2 linked regions of the Caenorhabditis elegans genome follow. The protein of the gene in region 1 purifies or fractionates together with the protein of each later gene. This does not show direct contact. Each region holds a gene or a part of one and is shown on either strand. Other genes may lie near its edges.

What was found.
Region 2: the proteins of kpc-1 (region 1) and asp-4 fractionate together in Caenorhabditis elegans (co-fractionation; one large-scale study listed by BioGRID). This does not show direct contact.

What each region holds. Positions count from the first base shown.
Region 1 is NC_003279.8:11,671,679-11,683,247, forward strand, and holds kpc-1 (Furin-like protease kpc-1), read left to right. Parts: upstream 1-4,266; 5' UTR 4,267-4,366; coding exon 4,367-4,630; intron 4,631-5,116; coding exon 5,117-5,407; intron 5,408-6,161; coding exon 6,162-6,562; intron 6,563-6,782; exon of another isoform or gene 6,783-6,872; intron 6,873-7,158; coding exon 7,159-7,782; exon of another isoform or gene 7,783-8,250; coding exon 8,251-8,414; intron 8,415-8,561; coding exon 8,562-8,705; intron 8,706-8,763; coding exon 8,764-8,954; 3' UTR 8,955-9,297; downstream 9,298-11,569. Other genes in the region: scrm-4 (Phospholipid scramblase), read right to left, coding at 9,355-9,389, 9,446-9,503, 9,548-9,612, 9,656-9,755, 9,947-10,195, 10,411-10,686. UniProt on the Caenorhabditis elegans protein: Furin-like protease which cleaves proproteins at the RX(K/R)R consensus motif. During neuronal development, regulates the formation and extension of dendrite branches and cellular positioning of various type of neurons.
Region 2 is NC_003284.9:13,216,422-13,225,421, reverse strand, and holds asp-4 (Aspartic protease 4), read left to right. Parts: upstream 1-3,959; 5' UTR 3,960-3,994; coding exon 3,995-4,080; intron 4,081-4,661; coding exon 4,662-4,848; intron 4,849-4,894; coding exon 4,895-5,018; intron 5,019-5,145; coding exon 5,146-5,388; intron 5,389-5,599; coding exon 5,600-6,143; intron 6,144-6,196; coding exon 6,197-6,347; 3' UTR 6,348-6,437; downstream 6,438-9,000. Other genes in the region: skr-19 (Skp1-related protein), read left to right, coding at 714-1,181; skr-20 (Skp1-related protein), read left to right, coding at 1,885-2,406; R12H7.4 (G_PROTEIN_RECEP_F2_4 domain-containing protein), read right to left, coding at 6,491-6,595, 6,645-6,896, 6,943-7,029, 7,259-7,493, 7,538-7,675, 7,726-7,814, 7,859-7,961, 8,011-8,084 and 1 more. UniProt on the Caenorhabditis elegans protein: Aspartic protease, which is part of the necrosis cell death pathway. Involved in neuronal cell degeneration. Involved in heat stress response.

The sequences.
Region 1 (11,569 bases):
GATTTTTTCATTATTTTAAGGTATGATTGAGCAATTTTTGCTCAATTTGCTGGTCCAATTTTCATAAAATTCTCCAATTCTCCTGTGACTGAAAATTAGATTTTCCCGCATTTCCCTGAAATTTCCATTAAGTGGAACATAGCGAGGTGTAGAAATTGATGTGGAAAATCCAATTAATCTCGAACGGAGCATTTTCTTTCAACTCTCCACTTTGCGGAAAATGCTCCAAACTACTGAAGCTTAATCTAAAATTCGAGTTTTTAGTCCTTAAATGCCTATTTTTTCAAAAAGTACCTATGCCTACCTTGTCTATTTATACCTTTGCCTACCACTGCCTGCCTTTGCATCTATGCCTATGCCTACCTACTCTCTCGGTGATCTATGCCTACTTTTTTCCTACCTACCTACGTGCCTTCTTAACTTATCCAACCTTGTGCCTACCTTCCTACCATCAATCTGCTTTCCTATTTTATGCGATTTATCCTTAAATTTCAAGGAGGCGTAGGCAGGCAGGCAAGGCTTTGAAAAACTCAAAAATAAAAAATAAATCCCAAATTTTCTTCGTACTCCCGAACCCTCCCTTCTCCCGAATTTTGATGAATGAATTGGCTAGTGACCAAGGCCATTCCGATTCCAGCGGTGTTTTTTCCCTTTGAAGACGTTTCGGCCACTCTTATGATGGATTGATGAACAGTTTTTCACTCTTTCCTTTGCTTTTTTTTGGCGCTTTTTTGCTGGTTTTGACCAGACGAAATTTCGCTCCGCAAAGTATTCTTCCAATTTTCTGAGTAGGTTTTGACTAGGTTTTGCTCCGCGGAGAGTTGAGCTAGAAAAATACTTTTAACTGGAAAAACGTAGCAAATTTTATGCTGAATATTTTGCTAGTTGGCAACTTTTTAATATCTTAACCTTGCGCGGAGTTATACACGTTCAAACTTTGACTCACGTTGTGTGCGCCTTTTATATTTTTTTAACGGATATATCTCCTTGGAGAGTTGAGCTATAAAAAATTTCCCAATTAACAAAATATTGCAAATTTTATGCTGAATATTTTGATAGTTGATAACTTTTTAATATCTTAACTGTGAACGGAGTTATACACTTTTAAACATTGGAGGGAGCACCGTCTGCGTCTATTATCCTAAAAATTAGCATGAAGCCTAAAAAAAAGCATAAAGCCTAAAAATCACTTTTTGATTTTCCGAGCCTTCCGCCGGAACAAATTTCAAAAGTATCATGCAAAAAGGGGGATCGATTTCAAACTAAAAACCGGAAGTTGTCACATTCCTATCTCTCTCTCTCTCTCTTCTTTCGGTTTTTCTGCTTTTTTGCTCATACATAGTTCCAATGAAAAAAGATACATTTTTCCTGCGTGTATTGAATTATGGGACACAACCCTTTTTTGAGCCTTAGGGAGTTTGAGGTGTCAGTTTTGTATGCTTTAGAGGAGAACGAAATATCAGTTTAAAAAAAGCTCTTCTGTAAATATCGAGTTAAACTCAAAACTCACAACTCTCAAAAATTCAAGTTTTAGGAAAGTTGAGAGGGCGCAGACAACGAGAGTACTCTCTTTCTCTGCGCTCTCTCTTCAAATGTGAAATCAAAAAAAAATTGACATATTTTTCATTATTGATGCTCTCTGTGTATTGTGGCTTCTGACAGGTGATATCCTTTCATCCAGCAGCCCAAACAAGGTGTCATCTTCCCCCGCTTGGGGGTTTCCATTTTCGGGGTCATCCGTATTTGCTCTCTCACCCCCGAAACCATCAAAGCTTTCTCTCTCTCTCCGTTTATGTACATTTTTGTGTGTTATACCTGAACAACACAAACATACGCTCTCACTTTCCACTCAAAGGCTCCTTAGACATTTTGGACGAGGTCGAAATTGAAAGTGTTGATCTTTTATAACGGAGTTTGCTTTTTTTCTTCTTTTTTGGAAGTTTTGAAAATTTTCTAAATTTTGGAAAGGTTTAGAAAGGTCCAGAAAATTCTAGAAAGTCGTAGAGAATTTTCAACAAAATTCTAGGGGTACTAAGATGTTTTATAATTTTTTTGAAAGTTCTGAACAGATGTGGATAACTTTAAAAATGTTCTAGAAGGTTCTAACAAATTTTAAAAAATTCTAGAAAAATTTTAGAATTTTTGAAAAATGTATAGAAAACTTCTAAAGGTTTCCAGAAAATTCTAGAAAATTTTTAACAATTTTTGGATAACTCTAGAAAAATCTTGAAAGTTTTTAAAAGTTTCAAAACGTTTTAGAAGGTTCTAGAAAATTTTAGAAAACTCTTGAAAATTCTTTTAAATATTCTAAAAATTCTGAGAATGTTCTAAAAGGTTCTATACAATTTTTGGAAAATTCTAAAATTATAGAAAGCTCCAAAATTTCTTGAAAGTTGTAGAAAAATTCAGAAAATTTTTTAAAAGTTCCAAAAAAGTCTAGAAAGTTAAATAAATTTCTTAAGATTTCCAGAAAGTTCTAGAAAAATTATAGGCAAATTTAGAACATTCCAAAAAGTTCTAGGCAACTCTAAAAAATTGTAGAAAGTTCAAGAAAATTTTTAAAAAAATTTAGAAACATTAAAAAACGTTTTGGCTATTCTAGGAAGTCTCTAAAATATTCTAGAATCGTCTGATCCATAAATATTTCTAGAATATTCTATTTTTTCTTCCAATTGGTCAACAATATTCAGACCTGAACATTACCCTATGTAATCCGATAATAATCAGCTGACACGGGTCACATAGTGTGCACAAACAAGCACTTTTTCCATTCTTATCTTATCTCTCTGCGTATTTCTCTCTAGATGTCAGCAGTTTTCCTTAATTATTACTTTGTGTGACAGATATGAGGTTTGATTTTTTTGTACCAAAGTTTTTTTAAAAGTACAATTTTTACTTTTTTTCCAGCTGCGCAAATCTTTCATGGGTTGTGCTGTGAGCCCACTAAAACCGCTTTAAAATCGGAGCATCATTCAGACTTTAATTCCCAATGGACCGGAGCAGCAGCTGCTCTTGCTCTTTTTGGTGCTCTTTTGAAAGCGCAAAGATTTTAGGATAATTTTGAATAAAAACTGTACTTTTTTCAATGTTTTTTTGGTGCTTTAAAATTCAAATTTCTGAAAAAATTTAAATTTTACAGAAAAAAAATATTACAAAATTTATTTTTTTTCGAAATTTTCAATAAATTTTTTTTTGTAATTTTGTTTCAACCGCATCACTAGATAAGTCCTACTAATTTTTTTTAAATTTTCCCGTTTTCTTTTCAATGTCCATCATTTTGGCGCTTGGCTCACACGCGATAACTGAATAAATTTGAAGCCTAGCTCCCTCTGCCTCTGGGCTCCGAGAGCACACACTTTAGCCGTCTAACTCTCTGTCTCTATATGTGCATATTTCCGTTTTATTTTCAGATTCCCAGTGACTCACTGGAATCAGTCGGAATTTGTTATTTATTCAGTTGGAAGGAATTATTCATTTTTTGGGGGAAAAAATTATTATTGGTTTTGGTTTTTGTTGGGCTTTTGAATTTTTTTCAGTAAAAAAAATGTCTATTTTTTCAATTCGGTTCAATTTTCAGACAATTTTAGGTAATTTGTCATACAACAATTTTCCCATTTATTACAAATTTTAGTCAGTTTTTCCCTAACTTTTCCTGTTTCTCTCTTTTTTCTATTTTTTTCTGTTTTTCTTTTTTCCTTCTCTTCCTCCTTTTTTAATATTTTTTCTTCCCTGGCCTTTCCTTTTCCTCCTTTTTTCCTCTTTATTCCTTTCTTTTTCCGATACTTTTTTATATCTTTCTTTCTGTTTTTCTTTCTTTTTTTTCTTATCTTCCTCATTTTCCTCCTTTTTCCTACCCGGTTTCTCTCACTTTTTTCCTTTTCTTTCCTGTTTTTGCCTCTTGTTTCTTTTTCCCTTCTCTTCCTCCATTTTTACTATTTTTTCTTCCCTGACCTCTTCTTTTTTTCTTTTTTTTATCATCTTTTTCTTCTTTTTTTCCTTCTTTTCCTCCTCTTTTTTCTTTATTTTCTCCTTTTTCTTTCTTTTTCCTTCTTTTTTTTTCTGTTGTTCCTACTCTTGCTCATTTTCCTATCTTCTTTTTTTCCTCCTTTTTTCCTATTTTCCTCCCTAGTTTCTCTTTTTTTCTTTCTCTTTCCTCTTTTTTCTCTTCATTCTTTTTCCCTCCTTTTTCCTTTCTTTTTCCTCTCCTTTTTCTCCTTTTTATTTTTTTTATTTTTTCTACTTCTGCCAACTTTTCAATATTTTCAGAAACCCCCGAATCATCTGAAAATTCATCAAAATATTCAAGAAAATCATGCGATAAACATCGGCGACGGGGGAATATATTCCAAAAAGAAAATTTGCAAAAATGTCAAATATCAGTTGGTACCGTCATTGTTCGGTTCGGCTTCAACTCGTCACACTTGCACTTTTCCTTTTATTAGGCTCCGCCTCTTTAGGCTCCGCCCACATTGATGAAGAGTTCGAAGATGACGTCACGACGACAATATCATCGATTGCGTCACCGATGAGGCGGACGTACACAAATGAGTGGGCGGTGCGGATAGCGGGTGGGAAGGTTGAAGAAGCGAACCGACTGGCGAACAAATACGGGTACACGAATTTGGGTCCGGTTAGTTTTATTTTTGAATATTTCAAAAAAATTTCCATAATTTTGATTTTAAATCGTGGAAAAATATTAATTTTGAGCAAAATTGGGTCTCGCCTGCAAAGCTACAGTAACCGACCCACGGATTTTCAAAACAGTTATTGTTATAAATTTTTAACAAATTAAAAGAAACATAAAAACATTTTAGATCGTCAAAAAATAATTATTTTAAGCAAAGTTAGAAAATTTTCAAAAAAAAATCAAGGTCCCGCCACGAAAACTAGAGTACTCAAAAACTTTTGCTGTTTTAGAAAAGTTTATGTTAACAGTATTGAATATTATTAAATTTCAAAAATTTCGCTTTTCAGATTGTCAAAAAATATTGATTTTGAGGGAAGTTAGAAGATTTTGAAAATTTTGAAATAAATCCAAACAAAATTTTTTTTCGAAATTTTATATTTTTACGGAAAATCTATATATTTTTAAAATTCAAGAAAAATTATTTTCCAGATAATTCCGGGTGACGAGTACTATTTATTCCGTGACGATCGAAAAAAGAGTCGATCGTCGCGAAAAACGCGAAGCTTATCAGCAAATCAGCTTCAACACGAGGAAGATGTCATGTGGATGGAACAGCAAGTGGCGAAGCGGAGAGTGAAAAGAGGATATCGAAGGATTCGACGACATACTGATGATAATGATATTTTTGAAGAGGATGATGATGGTACTCAAATTAGCAAGTCGAGAAATAGAAAACATCCGGATCCGAACGATCCGTTGTGGACTGATATGTGGTATTTGGTAGGTTATTGAATTATTGAGCAAAAAATTAGAAATTCAATGGTTTTTAAATTATTCCAAAAAATTGATTTTCCGCCGAGTTATGAGCATTTATAGTTGGTGGCCGAACTTTGATATTCTAGGCCACTTAAAATTAAATAAGTGAAAAAGATGCAGAATTTTCAGATCACTTATAAAAATTTTGAATCATCGAAAAATATTGATTTTCCGCCGAGTTATGAGCACTTAAAGTTGGTGGCCTAACTTTGGGTTTCTAGGTCACCAAAAATTAAATAAGTCAAAAAATACAAAACTTTCAGATCAATTCTATGCATTTTGAATCATCGAAAAATATTGATTTTCCGCCGAGTTATGGGAATTTGAATTTGGTGGCCGAACTTTGATTTTCTAGGCCATCAAAAGTTAGATAAACAAAAAAGATGCAGAACTTTCCGATCAGTTTTGTACATTTTGAATCATCGGAAAATATTAATTTTTAGCCGAGTTACGAGGTTATAAAGTTGGTGGCCTAGGAATCCAAAGTTCGGCCATCAACTTCAAATGCCCATAACTCGACGAAAAATCAATATTTTTCAATGATTCAAAATGTACAGAATTTACCTTAAAATTCTGCATCTTTTTCGCATATCTAACTTCTCATGGCCTAGAAATTCAAAGTTCGGCCACCAACTTTAAATGCCCATAACTCGGCGGTGATTGAATATTTTTCAATTTTTCAAAAACCATTTTTAAATTAACTCTCTAAACTTTTCAGAATCGAGGTGAACATCATTCTGACTCAACAACCCGTATGGATCACAATGTAAAAGAAGCCTGGGACCTCGGGTACACAGGAAAAGGAGTCGTCGTCACGATTCTTGACGACGGTTTGGAAAGAACTCACCCAGATATTTCTCCGAATTACGATGAACGTGCTTCATATGACGTCAACGATCGAGATAATGACCCGATGCCAAGATACGAATTTTCGGATGAAAATCGACATGGAACTCGGTGTGCTGGAGAAGTTGCGGCGATTTTTAATAATAGTTTATGTATTGTTGGAATAGCTTACAATGCAAATATCGGTGGAATCAGAATGCTCGATGGTGACGTCACAGATGCCGTCGAAGCCGCTTCCGTTGGGCATAATGCAGATTACATTGATATTTATAGGTATGGGCATTATTTCAGAATTGAGCCAAAATTTACAATTTCATCAGCTTCAATCAAAAATATTGATTTTGAGCCAAGTTATGGACCTTGGAAGTTGGTGGCCTAACTTTGGATTTCTAGGCCACCAAAAATTAAATAAGTCAAAAAGATGCAGAATTCCAAAGCGGAGCGAACAGTTTTTAAATTATTCAAAAATATTCAGTATTAATCGAGTTATGGGCATTTGAAATTGGTGTCCTAACTTTGAATTTCTAGGCCACCAACTTTAAAAGCTCATAACTTTGTTCAAATTCAATATTTTTCGAAATCTTCAACGGGTTAGAGTTAGACCTGGATTACGCATCTTCCCAGTTTAATTGATTGCTGATGGCCTAGAAAACCAAAGTTCGGCCAACCAAAGTTCGGCCACCTGCATATTTTTATTCTTTTCAATTTGTTCTGGCCTAGAAAATCAAAAATAATCCAAAGTCAGGCCACCAACTTCAAACGCCTATAACTCAAAATTAATGTTTTGAAAGATTTAAAAACTATTGTAATCGTCAGTTCTTTCTCTTTCTGTTGGTTATTTTTTCGAAAAACAAAAAAAACTCTTCCAGCGCATCCTGGGGACCGGATGACGATGGCCGAACCGTCGACGGCCCCGCAAAACTCACAAGAAGTGCCTTCGAAAAAGGAATCACCATGGGTCGAAAAGGAAAAGGCTCAATTTTTGTATGGGCATCAGGAAATGGAGGAAAAGACGCGGATTCGTGTAATTGTGATGGGTACACCAACTCCATATACACGTTATCCATATCAAGTGCCACTGAAAATGGAAATATCCCATGGTACTCTGAAGCTTGCAGTAGTACCCTTGCGACTACCTACTCTAGTGGAGCAACTGGCGAAAAGATGATCCTAACCACAGATCTACACCACGCGTGCACAAATATGCACACGGGGACCAGTGCAAGTGCTCCGTTGGCTGCTGGAATTGTTGCTCTTGCTCTAGAAGCCAACCCGAATCTCACGTGGCGAGACCTTCAACATATTGTGATACGAACTGCAAAGCCTATCAATTTAAGAGCAGGAGATTGGACTACAAATGGGGTTGGGAGAAATGTGTCCCATAGTTTTGGTTATGGGTTGATGGATGCTGGAGCCATGGTGAAGCTGGCAAAGATCTGGAAGAAGGTTGATGAGCAGCATCGGTGCAGGCAGTTTTATCCGTCGAGATATAAGTGAGTAGTTATCACCCAAATTTATGAAAAATTCCAGAAGTTTCTCGAATTTTGCAAAAGTTTTCAAAAGTTTCTAAACATTTCTAAAACTTTCCTGCTGTTTTCAGAATTTTTAAGAATTTTCCGTTTTCAGGAGCTATTAAAATTTTTTTAGACTTTCTAGAAGTTTGTCAAACATTTAAAAATGTTTCCTAATACTCGAGAAAATTTTAAAAATTTACTGAAAATCCCTGAGATCTTCAAAAATTTTTGACAAGTTTCTAGACGTTTCTCAAATCTTCCAGAAGTTTATAGAAGTCTACAGAAATTTCCAAAAATTTCTCGATTTTTCCAGAAGTTTCTAGAAGTTTCAGAAGTTCACACAATTTTCCAGAAATTTCCAGGGACTTCTACGCGTTTTCAGAAGTTTCCGAAAATTCTAGAAATTGAGAAAATGTTTAGAAATTCCAAAAAACTCCAAGTTTTTAGAAATATCCCCAACGGAAACCGCCTTCAACTCCAACTTTACTCCGACGGATGTTATGGTGGAGCCGATGAGAATAAGGTGTCTTATGTGGAGCACGTGCAGGCAATCGTCACATTGAAAGCTCCAAAACGTGGAGATTTGCAAATCTACTTGACTTCTCCGTCAGGTAATGATTTTGAAAATAAATTTAGGATGTAAAACTGACTTTTTTTAAACCTTCATAACTTTTTTTGACGAAAAGCTAGAACATTGGCTCAAAAAGCGAAAATGCTCAGCTGCAAATTTCAAATTTAAAAAAATTTAAAACGTTCAGGCACAAAATCCACGTTGCTCACAAAAAGAGCACGCGACACATCACGAAGTGGCTTCACAGATTGGGCTTTCATGACGACCCATAACTGGGGGGAGCAGGCCGCCGGGCTGTGGATTCTGGAAATCGATAATGATGGATGGGATGGTGAGTATTGATTTCTGAAAATTCATTGATTTTTAGGAGTGATTATCGATTTTTGCAGACGCCGAGCTTGTAAAATGGGAACTCGTGCTCTACGGAACTGATCGGGAAACCGGCGACTTTGGAGGCCAACATGCTTCACCGTTAGCCGTCAGAAGTGTCCAGATGGAAGCCACGTCATCCGGCACCCAATATTCAATTTTCCACGTCATCACTCTTGTCATATTAACATTTTCCCAGATTTTATATTAACTTCATTTGTTTTTAAAAAATCTGATTTCCAATTCAAAAAGTCTCAAAATCGATCGATCTCCTGTCATATCTTTAATTTAGATTATTGATTGAATTTTTCCGAAAAAAATAGTGAACTTTTCTCGTCTCTTGTTACGGTACAATTTCGGTTTCTGTACATTCCGCTAATATTGATTTTTTTCTAGAATTTTCTTCCCCCCAATTTTCACTTTTCCCCACTCCCGCCCGTTTGACAACGATTTTTTTTCGTCAGAATTTTAAAACCTATTTCCGATGGTGCTAGAACATTTTTTTATTGATTTTACTAAAATAAAAAAACAAAATAATAAAAAGTTTGAATTTCAACATTTTTAAGTAAAAAAAATAGAAAAAAAAACAATTGCAGGCAGAATGTTTGTGACTAACAAATGGGGCAGCACCGGACATACGATGAACCTAAAATTAAAATAAAATTAGTTGCATGCTTGTTTTAAACATCAGGAAACACAAACCTCCACAACCGATCGTGGATTCGTCGACATCGTGGATTTGTTGGAACTCCAGAAAGTTCTAAAATTAAATTGCTTTAAACTTTTGGTAGTAACTAAACTTACATTCACAATCAAAAATGTTGCTCCCATCAGTACTGCTTTGAGCTTCACATCCAGGTCGGTAGGAACTGCAAACTGATGGTTTTTTAGATATTAATGAAAAAACCCTACAATTTATTGTATATTTTTTGAAAACGATGGGTTCGCCAGCCAAACGTGCCGTCTTTCTGATGATCTTGCCAATTTCTGTGCCATCATCGATGTTTTTGATCTGGAATTATTGAGGAATCTAAGGGAAGCAGCGGACATTTTATTGTGAAATTGCAAGTTGCACCCGACGCTCTACGGGTTTGGCCCGGTGAGTAACAACCGACGTCTCATGCTAAACCCGAAATGTGTCGGCTGCACGAAACTAGCCAAAGATTCGAGCAGCCGACACTTTATGGGCTTGTGTTGACTTACCGAAAACTCCTTATCCTGAAATCCCATCAACTTCCAGAATGGAATCTCAATTCGGAAGATTCGGGCCCCTTTTCCATCCATAACGTCAAAACTAGTAGTCAGAAATCCAAACCGCTGGCGAATAGTACCTAGCGTCCCCAGAGTTGGGGATTCAACGACGCAATCGTGCTGACAGCAACCGACACATGCACAACAGCCATAGCAGCAGCCTCCACAACATCGGAACTCACGCTTGACGGTCAGAACTTCCTGGAAAACTGAATTTTTGATATTTTTCTCCTAGTTTCTTAAGTGATTAGTCAAGAAATCCCAATATTCATCACGGGGATTTTGCAAGACAAAAATGATCAGAAATCTATGTAGTTTTAAAACAGTTTTGAAAGAAATTTCGGCACCTTTCTGCCAGAGCTCGCGGAGCATTAGACCAAATTTCAGCTACTACAAATGCTCTAAGAGCTGCCTACCGCTTTCAATGCATTGTTAATATGCATTACAAATCCACGTTGTGAACCACAGAACCTTCTTTCACTACCATCGGACTCTTCGAGCACATCATAACACTGTTCTCCATTTTCATTTCTAATCTGGTATCGTTTTGCGGTCCCCCAATCCGCCAAAATCTCCACAGGTTGCATGATTTCATGCACCTCGACTTTGCTCAAACTTGTGAGCAGTTGTAGAACTGTCGTCGGGGGTTGTTCTGGTATTAAGGGTTGCTGAGATATTATGGGTAATTCCATTGTGTTTCTGAATAAGTATGGGGTTTTTGTAGAAAGTTGATTGTAAAGGGGCTGAACTGAAAGAAAATAAAAATTATTAAAATTAGAGTTTTTAAGCAAAAGTTCAAAGCTCGCGGAGCATTCCTACAAACCAAAAACTTTTAAAATAAAGTTTTTATGGGATCGCGGAGCACCAGGCGCTGAATTCAGCTCCACAATCTGGTAATCATAGTGGTTTACGTGACGTCAAAAAAAAAGATGCTTCGTGAGCTTGCACAAAAATGTTTTCGAATTTGATCTAAATTTACAAATTTTCAGCTTCTAAGCTCCCAGCTCGCGGAGCACAAAGTTAGCTCAACCTTAAACATCTCTAAAACTAGAAAATATGGCTCTCAAGCTCCCAAGAAGCTGAAATCAAATTTTATAATAAAAAGCTTTATATCAAAAGTTCAATGACGTCATACAACTAGAGGGAAATAAGAAAAAAAAATTGTGCACGGCACAAACAATTTTAAATCTGATTAATATGAAAAAAGTTTCTAGTTCTGGCTCCCGGATCACCGAAATTAAATGTGGGCTCAATTTAGCTAGATTCAGCTCAGCTGGCTGAGAGCTTCAATTTAACACCCATCATGCCTACATTCCCACAGTTTTGATGTAGGGCTCTGTGAGCATTTAGAGTTGCTCCGTTAGCACAGAACACTCCAAATTGTAAATATTCGTGCTCAATTAACCAAAAATTTTAAAACTTTACATCCACATTGTTTAGATTATTTTAGTTTTAAAATTTCAGCTTTCAAGCTCGTGGAGCACCCAGGTGCTCGGTGAGCTCAATATAAAAATATTGAAACCTAGGCAATATGGGGCTCAAATTGACGCTCTAAGGGAGCTGAACTTATAATAA
Region 2 (9,000 bases), on another chromosome or scaffold:
AAGAAAACAAAAAAAAATCAATTTTTCCAGACCTTTCCTGTAATGAAATATTAGGTTCTTATCTGATGACACTCTTCCTTTTGATAGTTGTGTTGTGTGAGTTCACGTGACTTTCCATATTTCTAATGGCCGTGGAAGAGAAACGCGTCGTCTGCCAGCCTTCGGGGGAAGACGTTGGTGCTGAAGGTGTGCTTGAGGAGCGCACATAAACTTATCGATTTTCTTGAAATCTTGATTTTCAAACATTTTAGTAAAATAATACATTCTTGAAACGCTATTTTCAAATCAGTTTTTCCTAATGTGCTATGTAATTGAACTGTTCAACAGAAAGTAATGATTGTCGTGACTTATCAGTGACTTTTTTTTCATTTTTTTTGTACCAACTAGTGGTCACCCATCATATTCTTGACATACACTTTATTGATCCAAAAATTTCTGTGTTTAACATTGTAATAGTTCTAAGAATCGGATAAAAAAACTTTATTTTCAGCTACGTTTTTTAAAGCAAAAGTGCGAAAGAAATTATTACACATTGAATTTTATTGTCAAACGATTTAATTTAGTTTTTTCTTCTGCAAGAAACTACATACAAATAGAACTTCATCTAGAAAATTTAAGGAAATAGTTTGAATCCTGACTATTACTATTATTTGCTAATTTTTTTTCTTCTTTTCATTCTTTCTACTACAGACATTTTCAAGTATTTCAGTGTAATGCAAGTTGAAGAACCTGTAATACTCTACAAACTTCGGTCAACAGATGGGCAGAGATTTCTGGCAGATAGGCGAACAATCGGAATGATAGGACGGATTGAGGACCTATTTAGAAATGCTGGATTAGACCTGATTCCTGCCGATCAACTGCAGCCAATTCAACTAGAAATCCCTGCGACAGTGATGAGGAAAGTGATCGAGTGGTGCGACCATCATAAGCACGACCCGCCCTACGACGAATCTGAACCGGAAACCAATGATATTCCTGACTGGGATGCGTCGTTTCTGATGGTGAGGCACAACATGCTCTTTGATATAATCCGAGCCGCGAGGGATTTTACTGTACCTGGTCTCTTCGCCATGTGCTGCCGTGTCGTCGGACAAAATCCTAGAGAGATTATTGACGGATTGGTGAATGATGAAGAGGAGGAGCAGCCAGTATATCCAGTGGTGGCTGCAGCGGCTTAGGAATTTCATTTCAGATGTGTGGTGTTTCGTATGGTATGGGAAAATTTAGACTATTTGTTTTCATTTCAGTAAATATTTGAAGTGAGAAAAATGTAATCATAAGATCAAAGTTGAGCCCATTTTTGAAATTTTTGTGATAATTTGGGCAACATTTTAGCAAAAGTATTCTTCGTCTTTTATATTTTACAGAAAAAATGCAAAAACCATACTAATTTTGTAAACAATGCAACTTTATTTTTCAAGTTTGAATCAAAAATTCTCTTCTCGATTCCCTACAAAAAAACTTAAATACAACCACCATACTTCTCAGCCACCACCACATTTAATGCTAATTTCCCGTGTTCAACCGTCTTGTATTCAATTTTATTTTCTCTGCTTCTTCGTTCAATTTATATTTTAAAACTTTCGCTGTAGATTTGTAATATAGAAAATTTGCCTTTGATCAACTTGACTCACAACGCCATTCACTTTTCTTCAAAAAATTTTACAATTCCAGTTTTTAATCGTTTCATTCCATCTTTAATAAATTCATAGTGTATTCTTCCAGCTCTTTTCCACAGGTCTATGATTCGCCAAATAAATAATAAAAATTACTTTAAAGATATCTCATTTATATATTTATTTTTGTGTGGTTTGAATCCACTCAATAATATTTTTGAAACAATTGCAAAACTATTTAATCAATTACCTTTAGTTCCACATCATGACCACACCACGATCTGCGCCCTTGTACAAACTGAAGTCAGAGGATGGTCAAATTTTTAATGTCGAACGAGGACCAATGAAATTTTGTGCATTTATCAATCAGAAGTTTATTGACCATGGAGTGAACGACAGAAATTGTGAACGAGCAGATCCAATTCTCGTTCCATTCCACTCATCGATTGTTCAAGCTGTAATAGAGTGGCTTTACCATTATCAGGACAACCCGCTCGCCCGACGAGACTCCAAAATTCGTTACCACGATTTTTCCGAATGGGACAAGCAGTTTTTCAACGTGGAATCGGGAGTTCTTTTTGCACTACTCAATGCTTCTCATGCGCTTGGAGTCGAAGATTTGATGAATATGGGGTGTGCAGCCGCAGCAGAATTGATTCGAGGAAAAAGCACGGAAGAAATTCGCAAGATCTATGGAATCAGGTCAGATGAAGAACAAATGGAGGAAGCGTTGGCAAATGGTGGAGAGGGAACATCTGCAATGACATTCACAACGGATTCTGATTGATGTTTAATTTCACATATTGTGAAGAAGATGTTTGAAAGAATATATTTATACACTTTGATTCAAGTTTATTTGTGAATAAATTATTTTACAAACCTCATAAATGAAAAATTGAAGTTATAAGAATGTAAAAGAATAGTTGGAAAACAAAACAAACAACTAAAGTGTCACTACTAATTAAAAAATTGCTTAAAATTAAATATCAAAGAACCATATGTAAATCAAGTTCTCGTTGTTTCAGAATATGAGGTGAGCCCCCAAATTACCGGATTTTTATTTCCGATTTTTTCTGATTTTGCATCCAATTTGGCCGAACTTGTACATTTCTGGTGTTTATTGCAAAATACTAGGTTTTAAAAGAACTAAACGTTTATAAACTTCATGACGGAATTGAATGCAGCGTTCTGATTACTAAATCTGGAAAATTTAATAGTGTGCTTTTTTTTAAAGTTTTTTTTTTCATCTGCCTTAATTTGCCCTTTTTTGTGGAATATTATTTTTCAATTTTGTTAGTTAAGTAAAGTTTCACTATGCTCAATTCTTCAGACTTTGGGGGGATAACTTTTTCGAGAGTTGTGATTAAAAGATACATAATATTCATATATCCAGTGCCGGTTGTTTCCAATAATAGTTTTTATTGTATAGCTTTTTTCATGCTAATCCATTTCATCTAAAATTTTTTATGTATGCATTAGGACATTGCATTAGGACATGATAATTTCATCAACAATTTTAATGAAAACTGAAAATTGAACATTGAACAAAAATGTCAACAATGTTATACGAAAATTGTATATAGTTTTTCAAAAACAATTTTTAAATCTCCTGTAAGTTTTCCACGCAACTTGTATATTTTATAGGCTTAATTTAAGCAACTACTTGATATAGGAGCCCTTGAACAATTGTAGAATCTGTTTTGTAAAGCTATAACCCAATCATAGTTGTTTTAAGATGAATGAACCTAAATCAATATTATCCTTAGCATTCAAACACTGTTGTTCACAAATCAGACGGAAAAAACGGGCAGCATCCACGCTATTTTCCATCCACAAAAAAACCTCAATTTACAGAGCTTTTGTGTCTTCTATGTTTAACAGTTTAACATTAAAATTGCTTGGTCTTCCAAACGTTTTGGTTTTATTTCAAAAGTGGCCATGCAATTTTTTTCATAGTCCATTGCGTGATTGACTAACTGTCTTTCAAACTCCGTCAAAAGTCCCAATTACTGTCTACAACAACCTTGAAGACAAAATTAGATAGGATCTTGATTTGGCCGAGTTTTGAAATTATCCCATTTTCTCTCCCCTAAATCGAAACAGAACAAAGTTTCACAATTCCCTTATCATTCAAACTTGTCATCTCACCGGTACAGACGGACACGTTGACAACGGTCAGGCCATTTTTTGAATGTTTAGAATTTACTTTCCGATAATTATGCATGACAGCTGGAGGAATAACAACGAGACAGTTGACCTTGCAGCTGCTGTTGTGCCGGCAAAGAAACAAGGCGGAGTCATCATGAAGAGAAAGGGGAGATAAGAAAAGGCACAATTGAGATCGGAAGAGGCATTCAGTTAGTTTCATCGTCAGGATGAACCGCTGTATTCTTTTGCTCCTCGGAGCACTTCTTCTCGTTCAAGGTCTTCATGTTCACAAGAGGCAACAGAAATTGAGAACGTAAGTAGAGGTCGTTGGAGGTTTGTTGACACCTCATTTTGATCATCGATATAGTGAAAATGTTGGTCATGTTTCTTAATATTAGGTGCCACGCAAACACCTACTTATGACATAACTGAATAGGTGTGATAATGTGCAAGATTGATTGATACTTGAATCCTCGGTAATGAGTAACCTTGTTATCTGTTTCAATATTATATAATCCCGTCAGAATCTCATTTAGACAGGATACTATAAAGAACTGAAAGTTGTCCATTGTTTTTTATTGTAGTTTCAAATCTGATTTTGACATTAAAAAAAAAACCTAATAAAATTTTTCTAACTGTGAAAGGATTATTTAAATTCATTGGGTTTTGTTGGGAACACTTCTTTCTACTTTGATCATAACACTTTTTCTTTCTATTTTGTCTCACAAATCTAAGATTTCGAGAAGGCACATCATGCCACTTTTTCTCTCGATGGGTCACAAGACCCTCCTGCTTATCCCATTCGAGTTGATCAACACTGCTCAAAAATCCGAACAACAAGAACAAAAACAAGTGACCCACTCAGCAGTTGCTCAGTTCTTATTCTGCTTGCAGCGTTTCCCTGAAGAAGCAGCCGACTCTTCGCGAGACTCTTCTTCAAGCCGGTTCATTCGAAACCTTTGCCAAGCATCGTCATGGATATAAGAAGTACTTGAAAACCAATGGAAATCATCATTTCGACAAGTACCAAGCTTTGAATGTTGAAGGAGAGATTGATGAGCTTCTCAGAAACTATATGGATGTGAGAATTGAAACAACAAAAAACATATAACTAATCAAAGTTTTAGGCTCAATACTTTGGAACCATCTCAATCGGAACTCCAGCTCAAAACTTCACAGTCATCTTTGATACTGGGTCTTCCAATTTGTGGATTCCATCGAAAAAGTGTCCATTCTACGACATTGCATGCAGTAAGTATTTCATCACCAAATCAAACTGATATCATGCTTTTTCTTGTGAACTGATGCTGACCGAAACGTGTTTGTTTTTGACAGTTTTATGGTTTGGACAAACAAATAAAACACTTTTTCATTTCAGTGCTTCATCACCGTTACGACTCAAAGAGCTCGTCAACATACAAGGAGGATGGTAGAAAGATGGCAATTCAATATGGAACTGGATCCATGAAGGGATTCATTTCAAAGGATAGCGTTTGCGTCGCAGGAGTGTGCGCTGAGGATCAGCCATTTGCTGAAGCAACCAGTGAACCAGGAATCACCTTTGTCGCTGCCAAATTCGACGGAATCCTCGGAATGGCTTACCCTGAAATTGCGGTTCTCGGTAAGAGTTTGAAGTAGACTGGGATACACCCGGATAATCGGAAGGGTTCAGCATTTTGTTTTAGTTATAAAAGCTGTGCATTGAACATTTTGGTGTGAAGTAATAATAAGTTGCATCCTGTATGCCATCAAAGGTACAATAATTACAGAAAATGACTTTTATTTTCTGAGCACTTACTAGGTTTTCTCACTTCTGTAATACTCTATTGCAGGAGTTCAACCAGTGTTCAACACTCTTTTCGAACAGAAGAAGGTCCCATCGAATCTTTTCTCATTTTGGCTCAACCGTAACCCAGACTCTGAAATTGGAGGAGAAATCACTTTTGGAGGAATTGACTCAAGAAGATATGTTGAGCCAATCACCTATGTTCCAGTCACCAGAAAGGGATACTGGCAATTCAAGATGGACAAGGTTGTTGGATCTGGAGTTCTTGGATGCTCCAATGGATGCCAAGCAATTGCTGATACCGGTACTTCTCTCATAGCCGGACCAAAGGCTCAAATCGAAGCCATCCAAAATTTCATTGGAGCTGAGCCTCTCATCAAGGGAGAGTACATGATCAGCTGCGACAAGGTTCCAACACTTCCACCAGTCTCTTTTGTGATCGGAGGACAAGAGTTCAGTCTTAAGGGAGAAGACTATGTCCTTAAGGTTTCACAGGGTGGAAAGACTATTTGCTTGTCTGGATTTATGGGAATCGATCTCCCAGAACGCGTTGGAGAGCTCTGGATTCTTGGAGATGTCTTCATTGGAAGGTGAGCCATATCTTTTCTCAAATTAAACATTGACGAACCCAATGAAAAATCAGGTACTATTCCGTCTTCGATTTTGATCAGAACCGTGTCGGATTTGCTCAAGCTAAGACCGCCGATGGCCGTCCAGTTGATCCAGCTCCACGACCATTCCGTTCTGTCTTCGACAACGAAAGTGAGGAATCCATGGAACAAGACGACGAATAATCAACACGTTATTTTTCTCACAAATCCAGGTTTTTAAAATATTTTTAATTCATTGGCTTTATAAAACACTTTATGTTTAATAAATATTTTTCTATCAACACAATTGAAGGCACATAATCGAAAAATGCGATCATTTAGCGCCACTAAGCAACAGATGGACGAAACAAAATGTCTCCACTGTTTCCGCTATTGCTCGAATCGGTGAGCCATGAGTAGAATTTTTGAGACTCTGTGTGCTTTGTGGGGTCCTAGAAAAATAAATATAGTAGACACATCAAAATTGATAGCAACACTCACCAGTCCTTTTCCTCTTTGTGTTGATTTTTTCGGACTACTATTTCCTGATGTCTCATCTGGCTCTTTCGAGTCGCCAGCTCCAGGTTGCTTTTCTGGATTTTCATCTTCATTTTCTAGAGGTGTTTTTTCCTGAGGATTTTCAATCTTCTCATCTTCTTCATCATCTTTATCTTTTTCATATGTTGAAGGTTTCGGTGGACACATAGCGTATAAACTAGCAAAACACCCCGAACCAGCCCACTTCTGACAGGTCTGAAAAGCAAAAAAACAGACTGTGCATGAAAAATCAGTTGCTTACATTCAAATGTCCATATGTGTGGCAAACAAAAAGAGCTGGTCCAAATAGGAGTGTCATGAAGGTGACCAGAATAAACAAGTAGAGTTTCTGAATTGAATTTTATTAAAGCCATAGTTTCATGCATATCTGGCTCAAAAACAATTAGCGGTTTGATAATTGCAATAAATTAAAATGACGTTTTGCATAATAGTAACAGTTTGTTCATACGTATGATCTAAAAATTCACGAATGGTTTTTATAGTTTACTTCGAAAGTGTAACTTTTTTAAAAATTTCTTTCTATTCAAAACTATAGAAGAACACAAATGTATCCGAACCTGGTGTTCTGCAGCAAATAATATCATAAGCCAAATGCTGAATATATACTGCGAAATCAAAACCAATGATTTTACTGATCTTCTCGCCCAATAGCATTGATAAATATCTTGAGATGGTAGTTGCCGGTCGCATGCAATACACGCTAGTTGCGCTTTCAGCCCAGCTAACGTTAAAATAACCCATACCGGAATCACAAACCCCCAAAGCATATCCACAGTGGAAATGGCAGAACAGCTGGAAATCGATAACGTTTATTATAAAGTCTGAAAGTGTCCCACTGTAAATATGCTGTTCCATAATATTTTTTCTCTGGAAAATATGTCGCTAACGTTGGTCCTATTGCAAGAACAATCGGGAAGATGTAGTACAAAATCCACGGAATACTTCCGTTTTTATCGGATTTTCCATGCACCATTCTGAAATTTGACACTGAAAAACGTGAATATAATTAGAATATTTCACTTACGACGATGCGAATAATGCTTCCGCAAAGAATATTGAAGCTGTCAGGCACATGAAAAAATGATTGAAAATCGCCACAAATTTGCAGATATTCTAAATATACAAACTTCTCTGAGTTTATTTTGTTAATTACTCACTGATTTATGATTGAATACAAAGTTAAGAATACACATGCAAACTGCCAGGAGAATAATTGAAAGTTCTTCGTAAAAGTGTACATATCGTTGGTGCCCTTTATTCCTGAAATGTTACAAATCTCGACTCGAAAAAATACTATCAGATAACTTACTTATGGCAAATATTTACCAATATAGTTATTAAGCACCATACTATTATCCAGCCACCACAAAAATACATAAGGTACTGAAATTAAAAAAAAAGAAATAAATGGAAGTATTCAAACACATTTCAAACCTTCACTATATCGCTCTGGTTATCTGATAAAACTGTTTCATAACATCTTTGTAAAAGGTTATCAGTGATATTAGTTGGTTCGGCAGTTGTTGTAGTGGTTGTTGTAGAGTTTGTGTCAGTAGAATTAGTGGAACTATTATTATTTGACATATTCGACCACACACCGAGCACAAAACAAGAAGAAATGAGTTGCGTAGGATGGTTGGTGTTTGCAAACTGTTTCCCCGGAAACTGGGATCGAATATTCCAATAGCTCTATTGTGACATCTTGTGATGTTTTTTTGAATAGCCTGGTTTTTGGATCTTCTAGTCTTTGCAGAGCAAGTGAGGTTTGTTTCGAAAATGACAGTGAAAAAAGTAAAGAATTCTAATAGATTTAAACATTCTTCAAAAACTTAATTAATTTACAACCTTCAAAATGTCTGTAAATTTTGTGACGGTTTTTATATAGTTTTTCAAAAAAATATATTTTGCCATTTTTCTTTTCTATTTAATTGTTTTTATTTGCAAAGCAAGTATGCTATTTTCCTCTACTATAAAATTACTGAGAAGTAGAATGAAAAATTGTTATTTTATTCATTTTCAAATAATATTAAATAATCCAAATCCACAATAAAATATGGCAAAGTTTGTGGGTTCCGTTTTCAAAACTTTGGTGAAAACTGAACATTGGCAGGTGGATGATGAAGACAAACTGGAAGAAATATGAATTACAGGGCGAGAAAGTTAATTTTTGTATCAAGTGAGTTTGGGGGGAAGGACAAAAATTATCTATATTACAAACGTGAATCCAGGTAATTTGAAAAGACATGATGCCATTTGAAAGAAACCACAGAAGGAAGGAGAAGTGGGAGGATGGGGGGAA